2 linked regions of the Alligator mississippiensis genome follow. Each later gene encodes a partner of the first gene's protein in a complex. Links are inferred from orthologs where the notes say so. Each region holds a gene or a part of one and is shown on either strand. Other genes may lie near its edges.

Region 1 (7,634 bases):
ACAATCTCTCATAGCACAAAAGCAGTTTTATACCCCAATCATCTTTGTTGCCCTTCTCTGAACCTTTTCTAAGTCAGGTATATTCTTTTGAGATGGAGTGACCAGAACTGCAAGAAGTCAAAATGTGACTGTACTACATTTTATGTAAGAACATTTTCCATTTCTTCATATAAATTCCTAATGATACTTAATATTTTTAATTTGCCTTTTTGACTACCAGTGCACTGTGAGCTCATGTTTTTAGAGAAATTTCCACAGGGACATCAAAATCTTTCTTGAGTAGTAATAACTAATACAGAGGCCATCACTGGGGATGTATAGCCTGGGTTATTTTTCCCCCTTTGGCAGGGATCATTTCAATGCTGATATGCCTCTTTATTACCCTCAGTTTTAAGAGATTTTCCTGCAACTCCATTAGCCTTAGTTTTGATTATCAAGAACAAAATTGTATCACCTACAAACTTTGCCACTTAACTACCTCCCTTTTCCAGATCATTTCTGAATGTGCAGAACAGCACAGGTCCCAGCATAGCTCTCTGAAGGACCTCACCGTTTACCTTCCTCCATTCTGAAAAGTCACCATCTAATCCTACACTTCAACTCCTACCCTTTAACCAGTTTTCAGTACGTGAAAGGGCCTTCTTCCCCTTCTGATTCCAGGACAGCCTACTTTCTTTCAGCTTTTTGCAAGAGACTGTCAGCGGCTTTTTGCAAATCCAAGTATACTGTAACAACTGTATCCTCCTTATCCACACATGCTTGTTGCCATACTCAAAGAACTCCAGCAGACTGCTAAGAGAAAGTTTTGCATATCTAAAGGTTTCTTTATATCAGTAATGCTCATTGGAGCCACTACTCAGAAAGCAGTTGCAAGAGTTTAATAATTTACTTTGCAACTCTTCCATAGCTGAATCAAGTATTATATATATTAAAGAAGAATCAGTAACCTGCAAAAAAGCTCTGCTACAGAAACAGTTATCTAAACCTGGTGGAAAGCCCGTGCCCCTAGTAGAGGTCAGTGGAATAATTCACACTGACTTCAGTCAAAACAAGAGACTTTTAACTCTAGTTGGCAATAAGAAAGATGTAAAAATAACAATTTATTTTGTAGTTTCAACAAGACGACAAATTTGCATGTGTTATAATTAACTTAAAGTTTTTGAACCGATTTATTCTAAATGGATTAGGAAAGTAACCAAGTCTATTGAAGAAAATTATTTTTAAAAAAGAAAAAAAAAACTTTAACCCTCAAGTTACATAAATAAAACTATCATCTCTTTTATAGCCTTTATCAAATTGGTAAAATTGCTGACAAGCTCTTAAATACAAATTTCATTACAACTCTCTTGTATGTTTTACAATGTTGTTCAGAGGAAAACAGGCATCTAGTATAATGTTTATTCTTATGCATCAAAACCCCTAAGTTAGACACCCAATGGGCAGATATAGGAGCATTTTCAACAGCATGTAATGAAGTGAGCTCAGGCTCACAAAAGTTCATACTATGCATGTCTTATTTAGTTAAGGATGCAAATCTACTCTGCCTTCAACATTTTACCCACCCACAAACGTAAATACCATTTTACTGAAGAGATACTGAAAAACTATTTAAAAACAGCAAATAAAGTGTATAAACTTTAAAGCTGGCACGTAGAAGTTTCCTGGTCTAGAGACACTCTCACCCATTGGATTTTTCTTTACTTTTAAGAAAGATCAATTAAAAAAGGAGATTGGCAAGGGTCACATGTACTGTAATTGGGCTACATGAAAGCCTGCTCCAAGTAAAACAGTTGCAGAAATCTGCAGCTATTCCCTACACACAACAGACACAGAAGTCTAGATTATATGGGTGGCAGAATAAAGAGAGGAGGCTGCTGCCAGTGATCTGTGGACACTGCATCCTCCCTATAGAAAGGAAAGTAGTAAAGCTAGCAACTGTTTCGCATGAGTGAGAAATATTTCTGTTCAAACACCAGATACTTTTCAGGAACTTAAAAAAAGACCAGTTGATAATTAAGTCTTGAAATTCACAAATGTGGCTGAGAGCCGCCCAAACAAGCCGGACTGACCCAGCAGGCATGAAGGCGAACAAGCGCATGTACCCATTTCACAGAAACTAGTAATGGATGGGATCCAGTGGGCCCTCAGTCACTGACAACCGAACCTCAGCTCCTGGCTGTGCTTAGCAAGGAGCGGTTGGGGCACTCCCCAGGGACCCCGGAGACCCAGGCAGCATTTCCACAAGCCTCCCCTCATGACCTTGGGCAAGTCGCTGGCTCTCCTCGTGCCTCGGCTTCCCACCCCGACCGAGCACAGGGGCCCGGGGGGGGGGGGGGGGGGGGGGGGGGCGAGGGTCCCAAAGGCGGTAGAGATTACACACCCCTCTCTCCCTATGCCGACATCGCTGCCTCTGCCCACGTCCAGCAGCGCAGTTGTCTCCTGGCCCAGGGAAAGAAGCCAGACCGGGGCCTCGAGCACTCACGGGGCACCAACAAGAGACTGCGATCAGGGGACGGCCGAGGCCGGCCAGGCCCCGCGCAGCGACACGGGCCAGCGCCGGGGGCACCTGGCGGCAAAGGCCCCGCCGCGCGGGCGCAGCCCCGCCTGACGCAGCGCGTCCCCCGGGCCTGGGCTCCCTCCCCCGGGGCACAGCTGCGGGCGCAGGCCCCCACCCCGCAGCAGCCCCGGCCCCGCGGTACCTTGCGGACCCCCTTGTAGATGTAGAAGTAGAGCTCCCGGCCCACATTGAAGCAGAGCCGGTCGCCGTTGCCGCTCTGGTCGTTGACGTTGACGAAGGAGACGCGGACCGGGTTGGAGCCCTGCGAGTTGAAGGGCACGCGGTTGGGCCGGCTGTACTCCGAGTGGCTCAGCAACTTGTACACCCCCTCCCGGGTGGTGAACTGGGTCTTAATCTCGTTCATCTCCTTCCCTCCTCCCTCCGCCGCCATCTTGGAAAGGAGCATTCATCCTGCCCCAGTGCCCGGATGTAGCCCCACTGCGCAGGCGCCGCCGCTCACTCGCCCTGCCCGGGGGCGTCCGCGCAGGCGCCGTGCTGGGGGAGGAGCCGCTCGCCTGTTTACGGCGCCACTGCGCATGAGCGGGCGGGGCTGCTGCCCGCTTAGCCCCAGCCGCGGAGGGGGGCGGGGCTTCTCCTCGTGGAAAGGGTGGGAATAGAGAGGGGGAGGGGGGGGTAGCTGTCCAGCGCATGCGCAGAGGCGTAGTAAACAGGCCACCGTGCTCTGGCCCACGTGCCTCCCCAAGGTGGATAAAAAAACGATTAAAAAAAATATATTTTTTTTTTTAATTTCAAACAGATTTTTTTTTAATTTAATCTTTTTTTGGTTAAGATGCTTTTTTAAAAAAACCATATAGAGTTTTAATTTATGTTAAAGCTCAAAGGTATCATGGAATTGGGATTATAACTTATAGTCATATACTATTTGAGACAATATATTCATTAAACCTTTTTAGATGTTTTATTAATAGGTCACAGCAGGCCATGGGCTATATATTAGGGGCCCAGATCCTGCCTGACTAACCTTGTTTCCTTTTATGACCAGGTCACAAAGTCCTTGGATGCAGGTGTTGAGGTGGATGTCGTCTACCTGGACTTCAAGAAGGCCTTTGACACTGTTTCTCACCCCATGCTCATAAAAAATCTAGGCAACTGTGGCATTGATGCCTACACAGTCAGATGGGTGGCAAATTGGCTCAATGGTCGTACCCAGGGAGTGGTGGTGGACAGGTCATTTTCAACCTGGAGGGATGTGGGCAGTGGAGTTCCCCAGGGCTCGGTCCTTGGGCCTGTGCTATTCAACATCTTTATCAGTGACTTAGAGGTGGACGTGGAAAGCACGCTGTCCAAATTCACTGATGACACAAAGATGTGGGGGAGAAGTGGGCACACTGGAGGGGAGGGACAGAATTCATCTAGATCTAGACAAGTTACGGAGGTGGGCAGATGAGAATAGGATGGAATTCAATGCAGACAAGTGCAGGGTGCTGCATCTATGGAGAAGGAACCTGCAGCATACCTATAGGCTAGGGAACACCCTTCTTATTAACACAGTAGCCGAAAGGGATCTTGGAGTCATTGTTGACTCCAGGACGGACATGAACAGCCAATGCAAGGAAGTGGTCAATAAGGTAACTACACCTTGTGCATCTACAGATGCATCACAAGCAGGTCCAGGGAAGTGATCCTTCCCCTCTATGCAGTGCTGGTTAGGCCATAGTTGGAGTATTGCATCCAGTTCTGGGCACTGCACTTGAAGAGGGATGTGGCTAACCTTGAGAGGGTTCAGAGGAGGGCCACTCGTATGGTCCAGGTGCAGCAGGCCAGGCCCTATGAAGATAGACTAAAGGGCCTGAATCTATTCAGCCTCCACAAGAGAAGACTAAGAGGGGATCTGGTGGCTGTCTATAAATTTGCCAGGGAGGACCAGCAGAAAATAGATGAGGCTGTGTTCCCGTGGGCATCACCTGGAATAACAAGGGATAACAGCCACAAATTGATTGAAAGCAAGTTCAGGCTTGATACCAGGAGGCATTACTTAAGCCATACATTATGGTTAGGGCTGCCAGGCTCTAGAATGGGCTCCCAAGGGAAGTGGTGCGCTCCCCTACCTTGGGGGTCTTCAAGAGGAGGTTGGATAGATATCTGGCTGGGGTATTATGATCCCAGCACTCATTCCTGCCCAGGGCAGGGGGTCGAACTTGATGATCTGTTCAGGTCTGTTCTGCCCCTAGAAACTATGAAACTGGATTTGTGTCTCTAGAGCACATAGACAGACAAGGTTCTTTGGGTAGATACAATAGCTTTTATTAGACCAACTAAATAGTTGAAAAAATTGTTCTTTGCAAACTTTTGGGCACAAACGCCCTTCTTCAAGCACAGGGGGAGCATGTTGTCTCTAGAGATAACATCCTTGTGAACAGCAGTGTATGGAGGTGAGAGCGAACAGACCTGATTACCCACTCATCAGCCCTGTTGTCTCTCTGCAAGTTTGTGTACACACAGTCAAGCCCTTACCTCTTAGTGCAAAGTTTCAAGAAGTTAATAAAGGATATCAAACTACAAGAATGCACTTTTTTTAGAAACCAATTATTAAATCGAGGCTCCCTTACCAGTGATTTAAATCATGATTTAATTTGATTTGAATCAAATCCACCCTGGTTTTCCCGTCTTGCAGCAGAGAGCAGGGGTTTGCTTAGGGGGGAGGCAGGGGATCTTCTGAGGGTGACACTGATTAGAGGCGCTGGTGCTTCTGCTGGGGGTTAGGGCCTGGAAGGCAAAGGAGGTGGGGGGCAGTGAGAGCTGCAGTGGGGAGAGGCCCTGGTGCCTGGAGTGGGCAAAGTTGTCAAGCTCAGTCTTCCCCCTGCATTTCAGTAGCCCACACCCAGGCTAAGGTGCACTAGAATGAGTGTGGGTCTGAGCCTCTGGGTCTGGTGATGTGGGTCTGACACCAACACACTCCTGAGGACATCTCGCCTCTGGGGACAGTGTTGCTGCAGACCTGTTAAGAGGCAATAAAGGCATGAGTGACCAAGGCAGAAGGAAGTTAGAGTTGCACCTGTCACAACCCAAGTTGTGAGTTTTTGTTTTGTGTGCTTCGGCACAGCTAAATTGCTCCCCGCTAAATTGTTCCCTCCAAATTGCAGCTTCTTTGCACGGTGGAGTTTTCTGCTGCAACAGAGAACCCCGGGTGCAAAAGAAGTTCCCGCCAATTCGTAGCTTTCTTTGCAGTGTGCATTTCTAAGTTGCAGCACGGTGATGCACGTTGCAAAGAGTTCCTGCCATTTGTATTCTAATTCGAGCCCCATTATTGGTTTACGTTAAATTATTCACATGTGACAGCTAGCGATTGGCCTGCTAGCCGTATAAAAGGCTTGTGTGGTTTCCGCCCTAGTTGGAGGACTCCACGAACACCAGGAGAAGGAGACTTCACGCTGTGTGAAGATCTCTAAGCGCTGCGGATCCTCACGGACCCAAAGCATTTTAAGCAGGCAACAGAGGTCTGATCAGCCTCTAGCCTCTCCCCGTCGCCGTACGATCCTAGACGTATCCTTCCCTGCACGCCAAAGAGACGGATCCACGGAGCCTAGCAAACTTCGTGTGAGTGAGTCTATTCAGAGCTCTTTACCGGACGGACTTTCTCCGGTTGGTCTGACAGGCTCGCGGTTTAGAGCCTCCAACCGGATGGGCTAGAAGAGTGTTCCCGGAGGAACTCTAGTCCGCCTCTCTTCTTTTCTATCCGCAACTGTAACTCAAGCAAGTTCTCAGCCTGCACCGCGACCATCTCGGTGTAAGTAAACAATCTTAAAATCAACCGTTACGCGTCTGTGCCTAATTCTAGCTCGGCGACCTCCTTCTCTGACCCGGCCTGCCCAGGCTGCCGGCCACAGCCCGCGTGCAGAGCGACAAAAAGGGCCCGGGGCTTGACCCAGCCCGCACAGCACCTTGCAGACTAAATTGGAGATGTGCAAGCCTTACTAAGCAGCAGCTTCCTAGCTTCTGATGAAGCAAACTGTCGCTTACTTGTGTAGCTCTGATTCAGTCTGATGCCAATCTACCCTGCCTTCTGTCTGTGGCAAGCTAGTGTGGCTCCCTGTCTGAATAACTGAGGCCAGGTTAATGTCTGCCAGGGTTAGTGAGAGCCACTTATCAAGCCAAAAATGATAGGCAAGTTACTTGTGAGAATTTTAGTGTTAGTGAGGAAGCCAAAAGCATTCCCAAACTACATGTTGAATTGAGCAATTGTGCCTCAGTCAAAGGCGATTTCACCATGCAAACTCTTCAAACCCAGTTTGACCCCACACCTGTCAGGTTCAGCTTCAGCCAGCTGTTATTTCTCTGCAGGGCCATCTCAGTAGTAGTGGCTTAATAGCGTGTGGTGAGGGACTGGTAGAGCTGTTATCTGTTTATTGCCACCACTTGAGTCTTTATCAGACCAGTTGACATAGTGGTTGTTTAAAGAATTGATCCTTATGAAATTCCATGTAAGAGGGATCTACTGGAGGAAGCACAGTTTTCCTGTTACTACTTGTGGACTGTGTCCTTCTGAAAAGGACTCAGAATATTTCCTTGGATCCTTAATGCCTCTCTCAGGTAAAACATATCTCAAGGTCAACGTGCTACAGACAGTTTCAGGCAGATGAGAGTGGATGTCTGCCATCTATCCACTGACAGTAGATTTGTTCCTAACTTTATTTCAGCTACATGTCCTAGCCTAACTCCAGGGTGTGCTACATCTAGAATATTAGCTTCAGATAGTTAGGCTTCTCTAGCGATCTTTTGACTAAATTATCTATGAGCTTGTTTGGGAATCCTAAGTTTGACACTGGGGAGTACTGTCTAGAATCAATGCGTCTAAAGTGAGTTTCTTCAGTGTTTGTCAAACTACAGCACATTTGGAAATGAAAGAAAAGGTCACTTCTCTGAATGATGCTTTGGCTATTTTGATCTTAAATCATTGGTGACACGTAGGGGGTGCATGCGGGCGCATGTGCACCCCCTGAGATTGGCGATACACACTCTGAAAAGTGCTGCCGACACTGCCAGTGGTGCTGGCAGGCGGTCGCTGCTCACCATCCCCCGCCTCCCCACCACCGACACTACCAGTGGTGTCTGTGGG
Region 2 (6,895 bases), about 230 Mb from region 1:
GTGCTAGTGAGTGTAGTACACAGTTATATCCACACACAGCCTTTGTTTTACAAGGCTAAGCAAGCGAAGATCTTTTAGTTTCCTCTCACTAAATAGGTTCTCCATTCCAGTGATCATCATAGTAGCCCTTCTCTGCACCTGTTGCAGTTTGAATTCCTCCTTCTTGAACATGGGTGACCAGAATTGTACAAATTATTCTAGATGAGATCTTACCAGTCCCTTGAACAATGGCACTAATGCTTTCTCCTTTGTACTGGTAGTGCCTCTGCTAATGACATCCTTATTTGTATTACTCTTTCTCCACCTTACTATTTTGTTTTCTTCTTTTTGGGAGTCTTTTAGATCTCTTGGCTCCCCCTGCAACAGAGTATGTATCACAGAAGTCATCTTATTTAGGGTTGACCTAGGTTCCTCTAGGGTCCACTGATATAGCTCCTTCGAGCAGCTATGCTCATTTTCAGAGGTCCAGTAACTAGAGCATCACCAACTCTTATAGTATTTTATGTCTTTCTTAAATTCTCTTCGCTTCCTGGAATGCTGCAAGAATCTCAGCTTTCTTTTTTTCCCAAAAGAGGTTCTAACCTCTGTGGCTATAGTGGTCAAAGCTTGTAAACAGAACTAGAATCACCCAAAGATGCAAAAAGCAGAATACAACAATCCCAATATTCATTTCCTTTTAAAAACCATTATTTTTGCATCAAGCTTATGACATGTAGATATCTGAATTGTAGTATTTTTACACTTTGTGTTACCCATGCTGAATACAAATGCATCCTTTCCTCAAAGGCTGAGTCTGCTCCTTCCACATTCTTGTCACCCAGGACACCAGGAAGAGAGTAAGGAACCAAACTTAGTCCTGAAGTATGAGTTGTTCTCACTTGTTCTGTTCTTGTTCCCCCTTTTCTGTTTGACTGCTTCATTGCCCTCTTTAATTCCTCCATTATATTAAAATGCTACTTTTGCAGATGTCTATTGATAGTAGTAAGAGCAGCACTAGCCTGAATTAATGCAGGCCTAGTTCAGTTTTGTGTGATGCCCTCCTAGACCCCGAGGGAGAAATATTATGCAAAAGCTTGTCTATATGGAAAAATCTGGGCACGTGTTATGAAAACAGAGGTTTCTTAAGGCTGCATGCCAATGTTAAATCTTTGTAACCAGCTATCAATCTCCAGCTTCCCTTCATGTGATGCTTTGTTATGCATTTTTATGGTGATCACATCCACCATTCATCAACAATATAAACTGAACGCTGCCTATAGGGTAAGGTAAGTAAATCCAGGTTTTTCTCCCCCAATACCGCATGGTTTCCTAAATATTTCTTTGCAATATGCTTGCCTCTTGTCCCATGTGGTTAAAAAAAATAAGTGCAATAAAAACTTTAGAAAAATCACATAATATTGGAGAGGAAAGGTAAGAACCCAGATTATCTTACCCCAGGGATTCTCAACCTTTTTCATAGTATGATCCAAGTCCAGTCCTCCAGTAATACACCTCAGCACAGGTGCTTCAAAGGTGGTAGTGAGGACCTGGTAGAACTGTGGGTGGGGTGCTCCTGGCATCCAAGAATGACTGGTTGCAAGCAAACCCACTTCAGTGGAAGACTGGACCCAGACTGAGAGCAGGCTCACAACCCTCATCCCCCTTGAACAACTGCTGGTGGCCCCCATGGAGGTCACAACTCAGAGGTTGAGAACCACTGCCTTACCCTATAGGTAGGCTCCATTCTCCAGTGCTGATGAATGGTAGGTGTGACATCACCAGCAAAGGGTATGCTGGGGCACCACATGGAGGGAAGCTGGCGACTGCAAGTAACTGCTCTTGAAGAACCTGAAAACAAGGGGGAAAAGCATAAACTAAAACAACAAAGTGCTGGAATGTGCACTTGCCCTATTTGTTTTGGACATTTAACACTTCCTCCTGACATGGATTTATTTTGTTTGACTGCTTTCATTCTAGAATTACTGAATAAATCGCTCGCCAGAAAGTCTTAGAGCCCCCAGATAACAAACATCTTAAAAATCCACAGGCAACGTGGCCTAATAAACCAGCCTTGACAGTCACAGTGTCAAAATGAAAAGTATACTTGAATGTACACTGCACAACCCTCCCTGTCCTCGAGCAGTGGGGCTGCGGGGGGCAAGGACCCAACAAAACAGAGACAAAATGTTCCTGTTTAAATGCACTTTTGGGATCTTTTAGAAGACCATGGGAAAGGTGACGTGTTTCAAAATGCACTACAAGGATCATATGGGGCTGAAAGCAATGCCCATTTGCATCCACTGAAATCCCAGCTGGGTGGGGGTTTGGAAATGCCTTACAGGGGGTAGACTAAGCAGGCGGACCTGGACCCGCAGCTAAGATTTTAAAGCTGGTGCCCAAGTCCATAATGAGGTGCTTAAAGAAGCACCTGGATTTGGTGAAACAATTGAGTGTGGGTGACTGCAGCGCGGGGGGGCGGCTGTTTGGGAAATGAAGCTGCCTACTCTAGGAGCCTACCCAGGGATTTAGGATCCTGACTCGGGCCTCTTTCTTGGAGGTCCTGGCGCCAGGGGCAGGGGGCAGCGAGAGGCAGCCCCCTCCCCCGGGGCATTGGGGGCGGAGTTGGAACCCTTCGGCCGCCCGCCCCCTCCCGGCCCGGCCGTGCGGGTACTCACCATATTACAGATGGAGGCGATGTTTCTGACAGTCATGAGTCTAAAGGTTGCAGCGATCGCCCACCGCCATCTTTACCAGGGGAAAACAGAAGGGCTCATGGCTGGGGGCAGCAGGAGCAGCACCAGAGCCCCCGGGCAGGCGGCGGCGGGCGGCGGAGCATGGGCTGCCGGCCTGCCTCTGCCCTCCCCGCGGCGGCTCCTCGGAGCAGCCGATTCAGCAGCACTGCACGGCCGGCCGCAGCAGCCCCCGCCCCCGCCCCCGCCCGGCGGCCCGGTTCCCTCGCTCCATCGCGGCACGGCGCAGCTTAGCGCAGAGCCCGCGGCAGCGCTGACAGCTCCGGGCAGCGCGGCGCGACTGGCATCCGCGCCTGCCAACCCGCCGCCCGGGCTGCTCGTGCGGCAGCCAATGGCGAGGCGGGGAGGACGGGCAGGTGCCGCCCCCGAGCCTTGCGGGCGGCGGGGCGGGGCGGGGCGGGCTCTTGGCCTGGCCGCAGCTAATCGCCTTCGCGGCTCCTGCGGGGGTGGGGGCGGGGCGGGGTCCCGGCGGCGGCCTAATGAAGCCGCAGGGTTTTGTTGTGTATGAAACAGCGTGAGGTGTCGGGAGCTTTCCAGACCCCACCACGGACTGCCCTGCGCTGCGCTGTCCCCTGCTTCCCAGACACACCTGAAGGTCCCTGGGGACTGTGCCTCCGCACGTGGGGCCGAAGAAATAAGGACTGGGCGTTGGCGCTGCCATAGCACCTCCTGCCCCGGGGTCAGAGCTAGGGCGGCCATTTGTCCCGTTTCATAGAAGTGGTCCGGTTTTCTGGTCCTCCGTCCTCTATTGATATGAAACTGGATGCCTTTATATCCTCTATTTTTCACCAGTTGGCACCCCCTGCCCCCCGTAGTGCCCTGCAGGAGCTTGCCACTCAATGCCACCACGCCCCGCCACGGCTGCTTGCAGGGGCTCAGGGTGCCCCCCAGCTTCAGGAGGCACACGACATTCGTGGTGGGCCTCAGTGCAAGTGTCCTCTTTTCTTGAGATACCTTAATGGCCACCCTAATCAGAGCACTTGCCAACCATCAGTGAACTGAGGCCCACAACATACTGGGAACATGACTATGCTGCTCCCGTACGGCACGACAAAGACTTGTGTTGAGACACAATGCGCTCACACTTTCTCCCCAGAAATGGTGGGTGATGGCCCAGGACACCATGGTCAATGGGGTGCCACACACACACATGTGAGCAGTAGGAGCCCTCACAGCAGCACTTCCCCTGTCCCACCCCGCCCTGGCAGGAGGAGCAGTGCCCAGTCTAGCCTTCCCACCACCTCCCTTCCACCTCCAGCTGTTGCTCAGGTAGGGTGGCCATCATAAAGGACATTTCGGTTTTCTGCTACTCTATTGATACGAAATGACCAAATCGTTGATTATCCAAATTAGCATAAAATCTTAGGATTCGGTTAAATCTAATCAGGGACAGTGATCCGAATCAACTAATTGAATTGCTGTCCCTGATTCAGGCCAAATCCGAATCGATTTGAATTTGGCCTGTTTCACACACCCCTAGTACTAGGCACTTGCCTTGCTGGCACACACCCAGTTCTGCATTAAGGCAACCACTTTACCCCCAGAGAATTAAACACTGCAAGAATAACTATACGGGGCAAAAGACATGTTTTTCTCTTCATCTCCCTCTCCCTCATTTCCTCCTCCTCCCTCCTCAAAGCCTGAAAGCTAATTTGGGTATACTTTTGACCACAGTAGGATTCTAGACAATAGCAGCTTCACTGTGCTGGGGCCTGAACCCACAGCATTTAGGTAGGCAAAACACCCTAAAATCAATGGAACCTGTTTTTTTCCAGAATAAGGTCAGGTCTGCGATCATTAATAAAAGATCAAGAGGACTGAAAATGAAATGTTACCAGCAGAATGCTGTTATTTGGTTTTAGTAATATATGTTGCTGGCCACAGGCCACTTCATAGTGAACGAATGCCAATATTACAAAAGTCACCATCCAAATCGACACTAATTTGGTCTGCTGACAGTTTCAGTGGAGAGGCCAAGGACTGAGATACTGTGGAGACGAACTACTGTCTTATCCCTAGTAGCCTGAATTCATCGTTACTAATCAGAGTAAACACATGTTAATGCCATGGTGGGGGAGTGGGGGAACCAGATGTTAAGTTCCACCTGTATGTTTACCAGAGCTATTAAGCCAGGTCCCCCAATAAGTACAAAATTTACTTTATATAAAACTCAAATAAACACAGAAGCAAATTTGTCTTTCATCCTCCATTGACTTCATGGAATTACACACGGATGAATTCAATCCTGTGAATTGAATTTCATTAGACCTAGATTCTCAGCTGCACCAGAGCTATGCCTAACCCAGCTAAGGGGAAGCTGGTGGGAATCAAGAGGTGACATTACACACCTCTCCACTTGGCTGCTGGATCAGTCAGGGCCTGGAATAGACTCCAATGTGCATGAGAAGCCAACTAGTAGCTCTAAATCATACAGATGAGCCACATAGGTATCATTTTATCAGCCACTGATCATTAGAGTGCTATGCCTTTTGCTGTCCCTAGCCTGCTTCAAACATGTCACTTTCCTTTCGTAAGGAACAGACGGCAAAGACCTGAGTGCTGGCTTTATACTGTAAAGGGATTCCTACGACATTGACAGTGCCCCACTGCCACTTTCAAGACCTCTTTCAATTAGTGGAGCATCACGAGGATTCGATCCAGGCTAATAATCTGGCCCTAATATTATTTTAGCTCACTTTTTTAGTTCATAATGTGTACATGTGAAGGCATGCAATAATTGCAAATGCAACACTGATTACTGCAAACATCAAGTCAAGACAGAAGGTAAGACTTTAAAAACAATCTTTAAAAGTCTTGAAAAAATAGCTATCATGGAATAATCAGCACACAACATTTAGTTATTATTTGATTTTTCTACTGATATAAGTGACTAGCAGCATTGTAAAACTCCTCATTTAGCTTTTAACATTAAAAATAAATACCACATGTATCAATCATGAGGTACCGAAATAGTTCATGTTTCTCCCAATCAAAATGGTTTGTGTTAGCGGTGCATTTCAGGAATAGGAATAAGAAAGAAATGAATCTGAAACAGTTCAAAGTAATTGTATTGAGATGAGACCAAGTAAATCTGGTCTCATCTCAATACAATCTCTGGTCTTTATTTGCAAGTAAATCAAGAAACATGAAAAAATACTTCTTTAAATCTTAAACATTTTAACATTAAAAAAGCCAAAGTCTGTCTGTCCATAACGCTTTATTCACACTCTGATTGACTATGGAAACAGGCAATCAGAGTGCTCCAATCATGGGGGAGCACTGCCATGATTCCAAAGCTGCGCTGAGGCCTGGACAGAGGGTGGGGGAACCAAAGCCAGCAGCGCTCCCTGCAAGCGGCACCAAGGACTGGACAGGCGGTGGGGGAGCCGAGGCCAACAGCACTGGCCTCAGCTCCCCCATCCTGCTCCCTGGAAGAGGCAGAATAGTGGCAGCATGGGGTGTTAGGTGGCAGCACTCCATCCCAGCCCCCTCCCCCTTGTCATTCTTGATGGGCAATTGGCTAGTTTCATATAAAAGTGATGATGAGATTAGGGAAAAGACGACTGGAAGGAAAGATACAACAATGGATAAGACAATGTAGAAACAACTTTATAGAATGCCAAGTAGTGCCATAGAAAAAAATATTTAGTAGCAGAATTATGGATTGATTCAACAGTCTACAGCCTGAAAGAATGCTGTGAAATGTTTGTAGTTTATCAAGAAAGGATACCAAAATAGTTTGTTTGGCACTGGGTAATTTACAAGGTTTGATTGGCATCTGTGCCCGCCTCCGCTCTATTGTACGCTTCCGCGCCACCTTTGCCCGAGCAGCTGATCTTGCTTGCCAGGGACCTACGTGCAGACCGCAGAGGGCACCTCGGCTGTCTTCAGGGTGACCTCCTAACTCACCTGCCACGACTCTGAGTGGTTCTTTAGTGTGGGGGGGGGTCCCCTTTGAGGGTGCCTCGAGTCCTCACGCATCTTGGCGGGCGTTCACGGGGCTCCAACCTCCCCTACACCCAATGTGCCACCCTTAGAGACGGGCCTCTGAGTCTTTTTGCGGCTATCCCCCTACTGGTGTCTTCCCTGGTCTCTGCGTTGCCTCTCGACGATGACCACCCAGGGCCCTGGCTGAACCTCGGTGGGAGGGTCTGGAGACCCTCAGC

The links.
Region 2: the proteins of WDR20 (region 1) and USP46 are in contact, whole or in part, in a crystal structure (PDB 6JLQ), measured with the Homo sapiens proteins. The link is inferred for Alligator mississippiensis from reciprocal best matches to the Homo sapiens genes WDR20 and USP46. Residues at the interface, in NP_653175.2 of Homo sapiens: Asn41, Ser42, Gly44, Arg151, Lys259, Tyr261, Phe262, Gly263, Glu282, Asp283, Asp284, Leu285, His301, Lys304, Ser305, Trp306, Gln374, Asp375, Thr376, Leu509, Arg516, Met517, His533, Glu534, Arg535; in NP_073743.2 of Homo sapiens: Asn205, Thr206, Ser207, Thr209, His210, Arg213, Arg273, Val275, Phe276, Pro277, Glu279, Leu280, Arg281, Phe283, Asp293, Met295, Gln338, Glu342, Tyr344, Thr347, Ser348.

What each region holds. Positions count from the first base shown.
Region 1 is NC_081825.1:284,945,661-284,953,294, reverse strand, and holds the start of WDR20 (WD repeat-containing protein 20), read right to left. Parts: upstream 3,008-7,634; 5' UTR 2,964-3,007; coding exon 2,700-2,963; intron 1-2,699. UniProt on the Homo sapiens protein: Regulator of deubiquitinating complexes. Activates deubiquitinating activity of complexes containing USP12. Anchors at the base of the ubiquitin-contacting loop of USP12 and remotely modulates the catalytic center of the enzyme.
Region 2 is NC_081825.1:58,528,123-58,535,017, forward strand, and holds the start of USP46 (ubiquitin carboxyl-terminal hydrolase 46), read right to left. Parts: upstream 3,016-6,895; 5' UTR 2,691-3,015; coding exon of another isoform or gene 2,655-2,690; intron 1,828-2,654; 5' UTR 1,787-1,827; coding exon 1,706-1,786; intron 1-1,705. UniProt on the Homo sapiens protein: Deubiquitinating enzyme that plays a role in behavior, possibly by regulating GABA action. May act by mediating the deubiquitination of GAD1/GAD67.